Linked DNA regions of Nothobranchius furzeri. The protein of the gene in region 2 interacts with the protein of the main gene of each other region in a pairwise test. Links are inferred from orthologs where the notes say so. Each region holds a gene or a part of one and is shown on either strand. Other genes may lie near its edges.

Region 1 (3,754 bases), on a different chromosome or scaffold from region 2:
AATGTAACAAACCATTTGATGGCAAAATAAAAACAAATATCCACACTTTATATTCCTGTAACCACAAGGTCTTTTTCATTACTTTTGGTCACATTATAAAGGGAATTCTTGTGGGATTTGTTCAGATGTGTGAATATTAGAATATGTGTTGCTGATGAAGTGTAAATGTAAATGGAACCAGAACTTCCCAGTAAAATTCTGAAGATGCAAGGAAGACCTCCACATTCCTCAAAATTTGTTTTCACCGAGAAAGCAACAGTTGTTTCATACTGCCCAAAGAAAAACTAAAAGGTTCTTGTCATGAGCACAATGCACACAGATGCATCTCTGAGCACAAGAGAAGACAAAAAAACCACAAATGATCCTGGACTACAACTCCACCAAAGGAGGAGTAGACAATCTTGACAAAGTCACAGCAACATACAGCTGCCAGCGCAAAACAGCTCGTTGGCCCTTGGTGATTTTCTACAACACTGTGGATGTGTCAGCTTATAATGCCTTTGTCCTGTGGACTGAAATCAACCAACATTGGAATGTCGGCAAACTGTACTGACGTCGGCTTTTCCTGGAAGATCTGGGCAAAAGTCTTGTCACCCCCGAGATCCAGAGGCGAGCCAGACCAGCTCGATCCCCAGCAGCAGCAGCTATCATTGAAAAGGTCAGGTCTGCATCATCTGACCAATCTACAATGGATCCAGTGGATACAGGTGCAAAGAAACGAAAAAGATGCCAGGTGTGTCCCTCACGAGAAGACATTAAAACAAGCACCGTTTGTGAGAAGTGCAAGAAGTACATTTGCAGAAAGCACACAGTTACACTCTGTCCATCATATGGACAACACTGAAAATGTTGAACATTGACAATCTGAGAAAAAGAAAAGTGTTTGTAAAGAAGGAAAACTTTTACTAACTAGTTCTTATAAATAGTTCTGGATATTCAAACTTTATTGTATGTCTGTGTTTTAAATGTTTTTTTTTCTAATGGAAAATAAAGTTCCTGTTGTTTTATTGCAGTTTTTTTACAGTTCTAAGTGAATTTAGACTGGGTGGGTCAAAATGACCAGCAAACATAGCCAATGTGATTTTTTTTTTCAAAAAATTTCAAGGGTTAAAAAATGCTTCCAGATTGTGTTTATTTATTTGTTCTGCTGTCAGCTGTGTTTTCTTTATGTTAATTTGTTTTATTTGTCGGGGCTAGACCCAGACAAAGACTGACTTATTTTATCAGCATGGTGGGTTTATGAAGATCCAGTCCCATGAATTCAAATCTAAAATGCATTTCTGTGAAAAGTGTCCACTTTTTTCTTTTGATAGAAAATTATTATTGAGGGGAACAAATGTTTTGTGTCAGACTCCAGATAACAATCTGGTTTAGAGTAAATAGTGCTAACTGAAACTGACCCTGATTTAAACAGAAACGGCTGCACTGAGGTGATCCCGGTTAATTTAATATTTTAATATTACATTCTCTGGTTTTAGGTTTTTACCTTTTTAAAAGAAAAATATTCAACTGTGAGATTTAGTTTTCTGACATTTGTAGGTAATTTCTGGTGAGAAGGAATGATGAATAAAATCAAAGGAAACAAATGACTGACAGCCAAGATCAAGCCTCATGTCTCCTGCAGTCTCTAATAATTCACTAAAACATAAATGTCAGACAAGGACCTAATCAGTGCCATAAATAGGCTCGATTTGAAAACACGGAGGGACGACTGATTCCCTGTGGAATGAAAATAGATGCGGGATATATAGTTGTCCTTTAAAACGTGCGTGACCCAGAACGCGCACAAGCATGCGGACTTAAACTCCGAGGCATCTGTCGCTACCGGGATGTAAATCTACCTCTGAGCTCCGTGACCCACATGGAGGACAAAAACAAGCCCGGGGACGTATCCCGAGGAGTCTGGACCCCCTGTTCTAGAGACATACCCGGAGCGGAGGTGGTGAGGGGGGGGGAGGTGGAGGAGGAGGAATAAACTCACCAGTAAAGCAGAGACAACCCATCGAAGCGCTCCGCGTCCTGAGGGAGGAATGGCATCGCACCCCGGTGTCTGTTAGCGCAGGAAAAATGCCAACACACACATAAAACAGGGACTCTCTCACACACACGCGCGCTCGCGAGAGGCTGTCGCAGAAGGTTGAGAGAAGGGATGAGAGGAGACAGCGGTGGAGGTTCAAATCGGGTCGGTGCGCCGAGCAGAGCGGAGAGGGATGGAAATCCGCCCCGACAGGGAGACGCGCGCTTACCTTTACCCGCTAATCCATCCTGATACCCGTCCGTCACACACACACGCGCGCGCACGCACACACACACACACACACACACACACACACACACACACACACACACACACTGCAGAGGATGAATTTTGAAGAAAAGCTTCGTTTTTCTTTCAGCTGAGACACGGCGCAGCTTAAAGTGTTTAAAAAGCCAAGTCAGTTTTTATTTGTCTGACACAAAACCAGGCTGAGAGTCGTGCTGGTGGAGGTTCATGAGATTAAAACTAGCGCTGGGACTTGATTAAAAATTTTAATCTAATTCATTAGAGGCTTTGTAAGTAATTAATCTAAATTAATCGCATTTTAATCGTTCAGGAAAATGTGCTCTCAAAGCAAAACTTTTAATGAAAATTATGAGACAGAGAATCAAACATTAGACAAGGTTATTACTGTAAACTAAAGCTTTTAATAAAAAATAATGCATTTTAATTATTCAAATGTCACTGTGTGATATGAAACAAGACCCAAATCAACTAAAATTTATAATTACAAATAGAAAACACCTGCAAAGGGATCCTGAGCCTTTAAATAGTCTCTCTGTCTAGTTGAATTACTGAAATAAATTTGACTTTGCACCAGATTCTAATTTTTCCAGTTTCACTTGTTTGTTTAATTGGGAGTTTTTATTAGCATTTCTACTCATAATGCAGTAAAAAAAAACACATATAAATAATAATCCTTCAAAATTACAGTAGAGCAGGCACAAATATGATCTAGGACTTAAATGTACTAACTTTTAACACCAGAGCAGGCGTGACATATTCTGAGAATGATCAGGAACACTAACTGGTTCCAGTTGGATGACTGGAGGATGATGGGAAGATAAAAGTTCATGGCGAGGAAATAATGATCTGACTAACAGGTGAGCAGACCTTCCTTATATGGGAAGTCCTGCTGTCACGTTAAGAAGGGGATGCTGCAGATTCACGCCTGCAGCAGCGAATCTGGTGTGATCTCCAGCCTGATCACAACTTTCTCGTTCCTCGCTGCCCCTGATACACTTATCTGCCCCTAAGCGGATGACAGCTTCAACACACCTGCTGCTTAATGATAGTAATGCATTTGATGTTTAGACAGTGACTCGTCTCAGAAACATATAATTCCCCGGCAGAATAGTTCAGAAAATCATCAGAAAAGTTTCAGAGTGTTTCTGATTTCTGGTGCGACGAGCTACTTAATAGTCCTGAAAATACGGTACGTGAAAAATAGTGAAAACTTGCTCAAAGAAAAATATATTTTCATTAAGGAAATAACTTATAAACTTACCGATTTGATATATTTTTATTCACAGAAAGGTACTTCTCATGAAAAAGTGCCGCAAACCTCCACCTGAACTCCATGCGTTCGATGGGTGTTCCACAGAGTTAGCTCTGGTTGTAGCTAGGTGGCTACATCCGTTTGCTCGGCTCCCACCTCCGCGTTAGCTTTGGGTTAGCTTCAGGTTAGCTTGTAGCTAGTTCGACCGGGTGTCGTCA
Region 2 (3,754 bases):
GGTCTCTTGGCTCAGCCGAGCAGGAACTTCTGGTGGTCCCCCGGTCGAAATATCGATCGAGGGGTTGTCGTGCTTTTTCTGATCTGGCTCCAACTCTGTGGAACGAATTGCCACTGAGCATTAGGCAGGCACCATCCCTTCACGTCTTTAAGTCTCGTTTAAAGACTCATTTTTATCTGATTGCATTTTAGCGCTAGGGTTCTTTGAATTGCCCTGACATTATGGTTTTAATTCTTCTTCTTTTTAACCCAGATGCTTGATTTTATTTTGTCCACCATTTGTTTTTGATCGATTCGTCTTATTTCCGTTATCTCTCTTTATTTGTAATAGTGCTTGCTTGATATTTTATGATTTTATGATTTTATCTTGCTTTTATGCCCATGTACTGGGAATGTTTTTCTTATGATGATGCTGTTCAGCACCTTGGGCTTCCGATAACGTTGTGGAAGGTGCTCTACAAATAAAATTTGATTGATTGATCTTTTCAGGCCGAGTTCTGACAGATTAACGCTCCAAGAGCCGTCAAATATAAATATACCTGCAACCTATTTTAGGGTCATTACTGACAAAGACGTACAAAGTGATATTAATTCAGCCACAACCTCGTGTCAGCAGTAGCTCAGGAGGTTGTTCAGTAAACGGAAGGTTGCCAGTTTGATCCCAGCTCCCACTAGAGAATGCTGCTGTTGTGTCCTTGGGCAAGACACTTAACCTGCCTTGCTGCTGGTGGTGGTCGGAGGGGCCGGTGGCGCCTGTGTTTGGCAGGCCTCGCCTCTGTCAGCTCGCCCCGGGGCAGCTGTGGCTCCTCATCACCAGCGTGTGATTGTGTTGTAAAGTGCCTGGGGGGTTGGGGGGGGGGGGGGGGACCCCAGGAGGGCGCTCTACAACTACATGCCATTTGAAGTGTTTCTACTTTAATTGATTAGACTTACAAAATTACTTTGGATACTGCAGATGAGTGACATAATTTTCATACTTTCTTTCATTCATTCGCTGTTTCAGGAGTACGTGACAACATTCAGCAGGCGACACTAAGCTTCCCACCTCTGGCAGTGTATCCACCCATGACGTAGATCAAACCCCGGCACTCACAGGCCGAGAACTCAGCCAGCGGGTCAGGCATCGAAGACACACACGTCCACCAGTCCTGTTCTGGACTGTAACACTCCACAGTGCCGAGACACTGGCCTCCCACGGCAAACAGCTTCCCTTGCACTGCCAGCAGCTTGAAGTTGGACCTGGATGAGATGACACAGAGGGTGAATGAAACAGGGCAGAAACAACAGTCGGGGACTGTGGGAGGAAAATGTACCTCTTCTGATTGAGCGGAGCCACCTGGTTCCACTCGTTCCTGCAGGGGTTGTAGCAGTGCACAGCAGAGATCTCCTGACTGGTCGTCCTGTACCCCCCCACTATGAACAGGTAGTTGTCCAGGACAGCAGACCCATACCCTCTCACGTTAACCATGTCTGGGGGCAGGTTGTTGGCCAGTGGTTTCCAGCGCTGCTCCACCTCTCCATACCTCAGCATGGACCAGGGCTCGTCCTGATCAGGACCGTCCAGCGACAGACAGGTAAAGTCTCCGATGGCCACCAGGGTGGCGGTCCCTTTCATGCGCATCTCTTTGACCTGGTCCCTGACAGCGGAAAGCAGGCTACTGAACTCAGGCCGCCTCAGCATGGGGTGATAGTAGCAGCTCATGTACTTCAGACAGGCGGTTCGCAGGTCATGAGTACCGTAGACTTCAGAGAGGCTGTAGAGCTCCACGCAGTTGTCCAGCCGGATCTCTGAGGTCAGCAGCTTGAGGATGGAGGTGACTTGTAGAAAGGAGGCGGTCTCTATCAGATCTTCCAGGGTCTCATTGACCACCTGGACTTTGGAGGTGTTGATGAACTCCAGAACCAGCTCCAGGCCCGTAACGCTGAGCCCCTGGAGCTGCACAGAGTCCTCAGTAGACTCCCTCATCCCGGAGTTGTAAAGCGCTCGGAAATAATCGCTTTTCTCGATCAACTTATTTTTGTTCACCTCGTAGGTCCTGTCGTCCACCACGATGGCGATTTGGTCTGAGGACATGTTGGAGACAGCTTCCAGAAAGACTTTACAGTTCACCAGCGCAGGAGCTCCGTGGCCGGGCTATATATGGTCATGTTCAGCCCATAAATCCAAACGGAGCTGCTCCTCTCATCCAGAGAAGCTAATCAGCTAACAAGCTGCTGCACCGACAAACCCGCCAAAGCGGCTCTTTCCTCGGGTTAGCATTCCTCGACAGTTCGGTCGAAAAGTGGATCTAGTTTATAAATATGTCAACTACATGTTGCAGTTTATTTTAGACCTTGATAGCGGCTCTTTTAACAAGAATTTCACAAGACCCTTGTGGGAACGGACTGTCAAATTTCCAGTGTTTTGATTCTGCGCTTCTTCGTGTAAATACGGTTGAGTCGAGCTGCTCATCCGCCCTACTGCCACCTGCAGGTCAGTCCTAGAATGGCGTCTAATCGGATTCATTTTAAAAACTATTTTATTTCATTTCCTGGAAACAAGAATAAACAAACAAAAGAAACAAAATTCACCTATTGTGCACAAAATAAAATAAAATAAAATAATTATATATATATATATATATATAATTTTATTTTGTGCACAAAATATAAAAAATGTATACATAAAATTACTCAAGTAAACCTATAATATTTAAAATTAAGAAATAAAATAGCTTCAGCTGTTCCGAATTATTTTGAAAACGGACAGTCTGAAATGAGTGAAACCAGTAAAATAGTAAATGAATTTAACAGTTTTTTTTCTAATGTGGGACCTGACTTGGCAAAAAACATTCCAAAAAGAACTAATTATAGTACAGGTGCAGGCCCGGAGTGGCTAATCGGGAGGGTCTGGAGAATTCCCGGTGGGCCGCGCGATGTTTGGGCCGCATGGGGCCGGTGCTCTCGTTTTTGTTTTTTATCATTTTATTTTTATTTTTTGGTGCCGGTGTTCAGTCATGGCACTGAGGCCGCCGGGCTGATCACATACGCTCCTCCCGGCTGTCTCTGGCTGGCTCTACCTGCAGGCTGCAGCTCGTTTTTTTTCCCCAGTATGCGCCTGTGCGCACCACGTGACCACGCAGTTGACGGAAAGATGGAAAGTAGAAAGAGCAAGGGTGGCGCGGAGAAGGCAAGAATTAAAAAGAGGAAAGCGTTGGAAACAGATGCAGCCAAGGCCGGATTAACCATATGGGCAACTGGGCAATTGACCAGGGCCCACGAAGGGCCCAGGCCAGCAAGCGCACGAGCAAAATACTGTAGGCATGTCTGTAATCTCCCGCATTATATTAAACTAGGGTGACCGTATGTCCGGTTTTCCCCGGACATGTCCACTTTTCACTCTCTGTCCGGGCGTCCGGACTGCGGGTTCTTGTATTGATGAAAATGTCCGGCTTTTCATCCAGGAGCAGGGATCGAATTATGGGGGAGCTGTATATCTTACACATCCAGGGGAGCCGGAAACAAGTTTTCTATCTATATTACATCATTTATGGACTCTTCTGAGCAGAGAGCACAAAGAGCGGCACAGCGCGTTATTGCGCAGCGATCCAGGCAGCTGCGTCCAGCGCACGGTCCATTCTCAAAGTGGCGCAACCAAAAAACTATAATTAGCACACGATCGTTCATGTCCGCACATATTCTCTATTTTCTGTCTTATTTGTGCCTGAAGCGCTCTGCTGCTGCGCAGCTCATCACCTGTGCTGCGCGGTGCTGCG
Region 3 (3,232 bases), on a different chromosome or scaffold from region 2:
CGCCAACATCATACACAAAAAATGCTGAAAACTAACTAGAAATTCACGAAAATTTTATAGAAATAAAATAATCTTGTTTATTGTCTTTGGTAATTTAAAACCTTTGGAAACTTTATTTAAGGATTATTTGTCATTTTTAAGGATTTTTAGGGCCTTAACTCATTCACTGCCATTGACGACTAAAGTAGCCATTTTAAATCCAACCGTTCACTGCCAATGACGACTTAAGTCGTCATTTGCATGTTTTTACTGTGCGGGCGTCGGAACGAGCCCCCACGTCGTGAGAACAAACATCCTAGCTCTGAAGCCGATCTTCATCCGCATACGTCACACGTCACGTGATCAGGAAGCAGAAAATCCGTGTGTTAGGAGATCGTTTTGGGCCGCTGTTGTAAAAAAAAGTGAGGCGTGGACCGGAAAAGCTTCTGCCGATCACAATTCAACAACGGATTATGAAAGAACAGATAATGCTCAAAACGCGCGGATTCTTCCTGAAGTAAGAGGTGTCTCCGCTTTGTTTTAGTTGTTTTGGCGTCAACATTATCCTAGCGCAACGTTCTGTCACTCTTAAAAAAACAGTAAAAACTGCGAGAAACGCTGGCAGCGAATGAGTTAAATGTGGAAAAGCAAATGTAAGACTTTTTAAGGACCTGCAGATACCCTGCCGGAAGAACGAATAAATGAATGCAAGTCAACGGGGCTAAAAACGCTATTTTCCAATCCGTTTTGCCTTACGCCCTGGATCGCACACATGTTATACTGCAATTTAAATGAAAAGTAATGATGGGTGTTTTGACCCCGCCAGTCACGTACTTTAATTTATTTACTTTGAGATTTATTAGCTTGTAAAAGTTTGTAATTAGCATCACTACAAACCAGAAATTGTCATGTTGCATATGTGACATCAACGCAGAATCTCCTCTCCCCAAAGTAACTGCTACTTACCAAATGACCAGATTCATGGTGGTTCTTTCCTCCTGTGGGAAGTTTGCTGAACTTACAGACCTTTTCCCTCAGTTTTCTCCATGTCTGGTTAGATGACGTCACTTTCATGAGGCGCATTTGTATTCCCATACTCATTTTCACACAAAACCTAAAATAGCGTTCCCCCATTTGAAAATAAGGGCGTTCTTGGTATGATGTCTGTGAATTTCAAAGACACACTTTGATCTGTGAAATCCATGGCGCAAAACAAGCGGGATTAGGAAATAGCGTTTTTAGCCCCGTTGACTTGCATAAATTTTTTTGTTAATCTGGAGACCCATGGTGTGGAAGAAGGTGGGTGTGCCTTCGGCTCCCTATTGGTACACGTCTCTGCCGAACTGAATGTTCCTTACTGAAAACTCCAAATCTGAATACATGTACTATTACACCCCAGATGTTTTTTGTACAACAAATGCTCCACAATATGAACATGTCATTATATCACCTAAACCACGACTAAACTAAAAAGAAATGCCAAGCAGAACAGAACATACCTTGAGTGTTCAGATAATAGTGTTTCCAAAGGGGTCGGAGTTTATGTTTTCCTCCTACATCCCAGATGGTGAATTTCAAGTTCTTATATTCTACAGTCTCCACATTAAAACCTTGAAACAGACCAGAAACAAGCTGGATTTAGGACAACATTTACTTGATCATACCGCCAGCCGATAAACCAAAACCCTTTACCTATAGTTGGGATGGGCTGCATGAACTCATCTTGCTTCAGCTTGAAGAGGATGGTGGTTTTCCCTGCTCCATCAAGTCCAAGAGTCACAACACGGATCTCCATTTTTGGACCAATGTGGACTCTATTATCCTAAAGAACAAAAGCAAGTTTTTAGAACTTTCATCTTTTTGTTCAATTCCGAGAGAACAGTAGGCCTAAGTAGTGGTGAAGAGGGAGCTGAGCCAGAAAGCCAGGCTCTCGATTTACCGGTCAATCTACATCTCAATCCTCACCTATGGTCATGAGCTTTGGGTAATGACCGAAAGAATGAGATCGCGGATACAAGCGGCCGAAATGAGTTTCCTCCGTAGGGTGGCCGGGCTCAGCCTTAGAGATAGGGTGAGGAGCTCGGACATTCGGGAGGGACTCGGAGTAGAACCGCTGCTCCTCCGGATCGAAAGGAGTCAGTTGAGGTGGTTTGGGCATCTGGTCAGGATGCCTCCTGGACGCCTCCCTGGGGAGGTGTTTTGGGCATGTCCTGCCAGCAGGAGGCCCCCAGGTCGACCCAGGACACGTTGGAGAGGTTACATCTCCAATCTGGTCCGGGAACGCCTTGGTTTCCTGCCGGAGGAACTGGTGGAGGTGGCTGGGGTGAGGACTGTCTGGAGCTCCCTAGTTGGGATGCTGCCCCCGCGACCCGGACCCGGATAAGCGGAGGAAGACGACGATAGTAGGCGGGGGTGGTTTGTACCTTAGTGAAGGTGACTGGGATGCCTGCATCCAGCTGAATGTGATCTGCGAGCTCAGTGAACTGGTGCTGCTGCTTCTGAAGTGTCTCCAGCAAACAGTTGATCTCCTGCTTTGCCAGCACAACTCTGCAGTCGTCCTACACCAAGAAAGAAGCAACACACATCAGACACCCTTACATACACACGAGCTTAAAGGTTTCATTCAGTTTAGAATAAATCTGCTGTGGTCTCTATAGGCAAGGCAGCTTTATTTGGCAAATGCAAATCAAAGTGTTTTACAGAAGTAAGAAGAGCAAACAGAAAATCAAACAAAGAAATGTAGACATTAAATTCAGATTTAACAAACAGATAAAAGGCATAGTCAAAAGGTTAGCAGTTACAGAGCAGAATGTGCAGCATAACAAACATTTATTCATAGGCTGATGAATACATGAAGGTATTTCATTTTGATTTAAAAGTCATTAGATTTGGGACACATTTGAGGTCATGAGGAAGCTAATTCCATCTGTGTGCAGTAGCGATGGGTGCCGAATTCGGTACTTTTTAAGGTACCGACCGAATTCCATAGTACCGACTGAGCACCGATTCATGCCATTTGAAACGGTGCCTCGTTTTGGTACCCGTCCTTCATAACGAGAACTTGCCTAGACAGCTGTGCATGCGCAAGAGCGTTTCGTTGGTCACTGCGAGCCAGTTGTAAGCAGAGCAGCATGGTAGAAAGAAAGCCCACTAAAGCTTGGGTCCACTTCACTAAATGTGATGGGTAACTGGGTGATGATGAAACCAACGACAACGATCTAAGTGAGACATCCTCATCTTAATCTGCTCCGGT

The links.
Region 1: the proteins of klhl42 (region 2) and stxbp4 interact in a two-hybrid assay, tested with the Homo sapiens proteins (2 studies listed by BioGRID and IntAct). The two-hybrid records come from large-scale screens. The link is inferred for Nothobranchius furzeri from reciprocal best matches to the Homo sapiens genes KLHL42 and STXBP4.
Region 3: the proteins of klhl42 (region 2) and trim23 interact in binary tests that used the Homo sapiens proteins (3 or more experiments, as listed by UniProt). The two-hybrid records come from large-scale screens. The link is inferred for Nothobranchius furzeri from reciprocal best matches to the Homo sapiens genes KLHL42 and TRIM23.

What each region holds. Positions count from the first base shown.
Region 1 is NC_091756.1:51,700,254-51,704,007, forward strand, and holds the start of stxbp4 (syntaxin-binding protein 4), read right to left. Parts: upstream 2,318-3,754; 5' UTR 2,038-2,317; coding exon 1,982-2,037; intron 1-1,981. UniProt on the Homo sapiens protein: Plays a role in the translocation of transport vesicles from the cytoplasm to the plasma membrane. Inhibits the translocation of SLC2A4 from intracellular vesicles to the plasma membrane by STX4A binding and preventing the interaction between STX4A and VAMP2.
Region 2 is NC_091741.1:34,812,430-34,816,183, forward strand, and holds the start of klhl42 (kelch-like protein 42), read right to left. Parts: upstream 2,280-3,754; 5' UTR 2,074-2,279; coding exon 1,313-2,073; intron 1,239-1,312; coding exon 1,045-1,238; intron 1-1,044. UniProt on the Homo sapiens protein: Substrate-specific adapter of a BCR (BTB-CUL3-RBX1) E3 ubiquitin-protein ligase complex required for mitotic progression and cytokinesis. The BCR(KLHL42) E3 ubiquitin ligase complex mediates the ubiquitination and subsequent degradation of KATNA1.
Region 3 is NC_091746.1:63,277,170-63,280,401, forward strand, and holds part of trim23 (E3 ubiquitin-protein ligase TRIM23), read right to left. Parts: intron 2,538-3,232; coding exon 2,403-2,537; intron 1,802-2,402; coding exon 1,672-1,801; intron 1,590-1,671; coding exon 1,479-1,589; intron 1-1,478.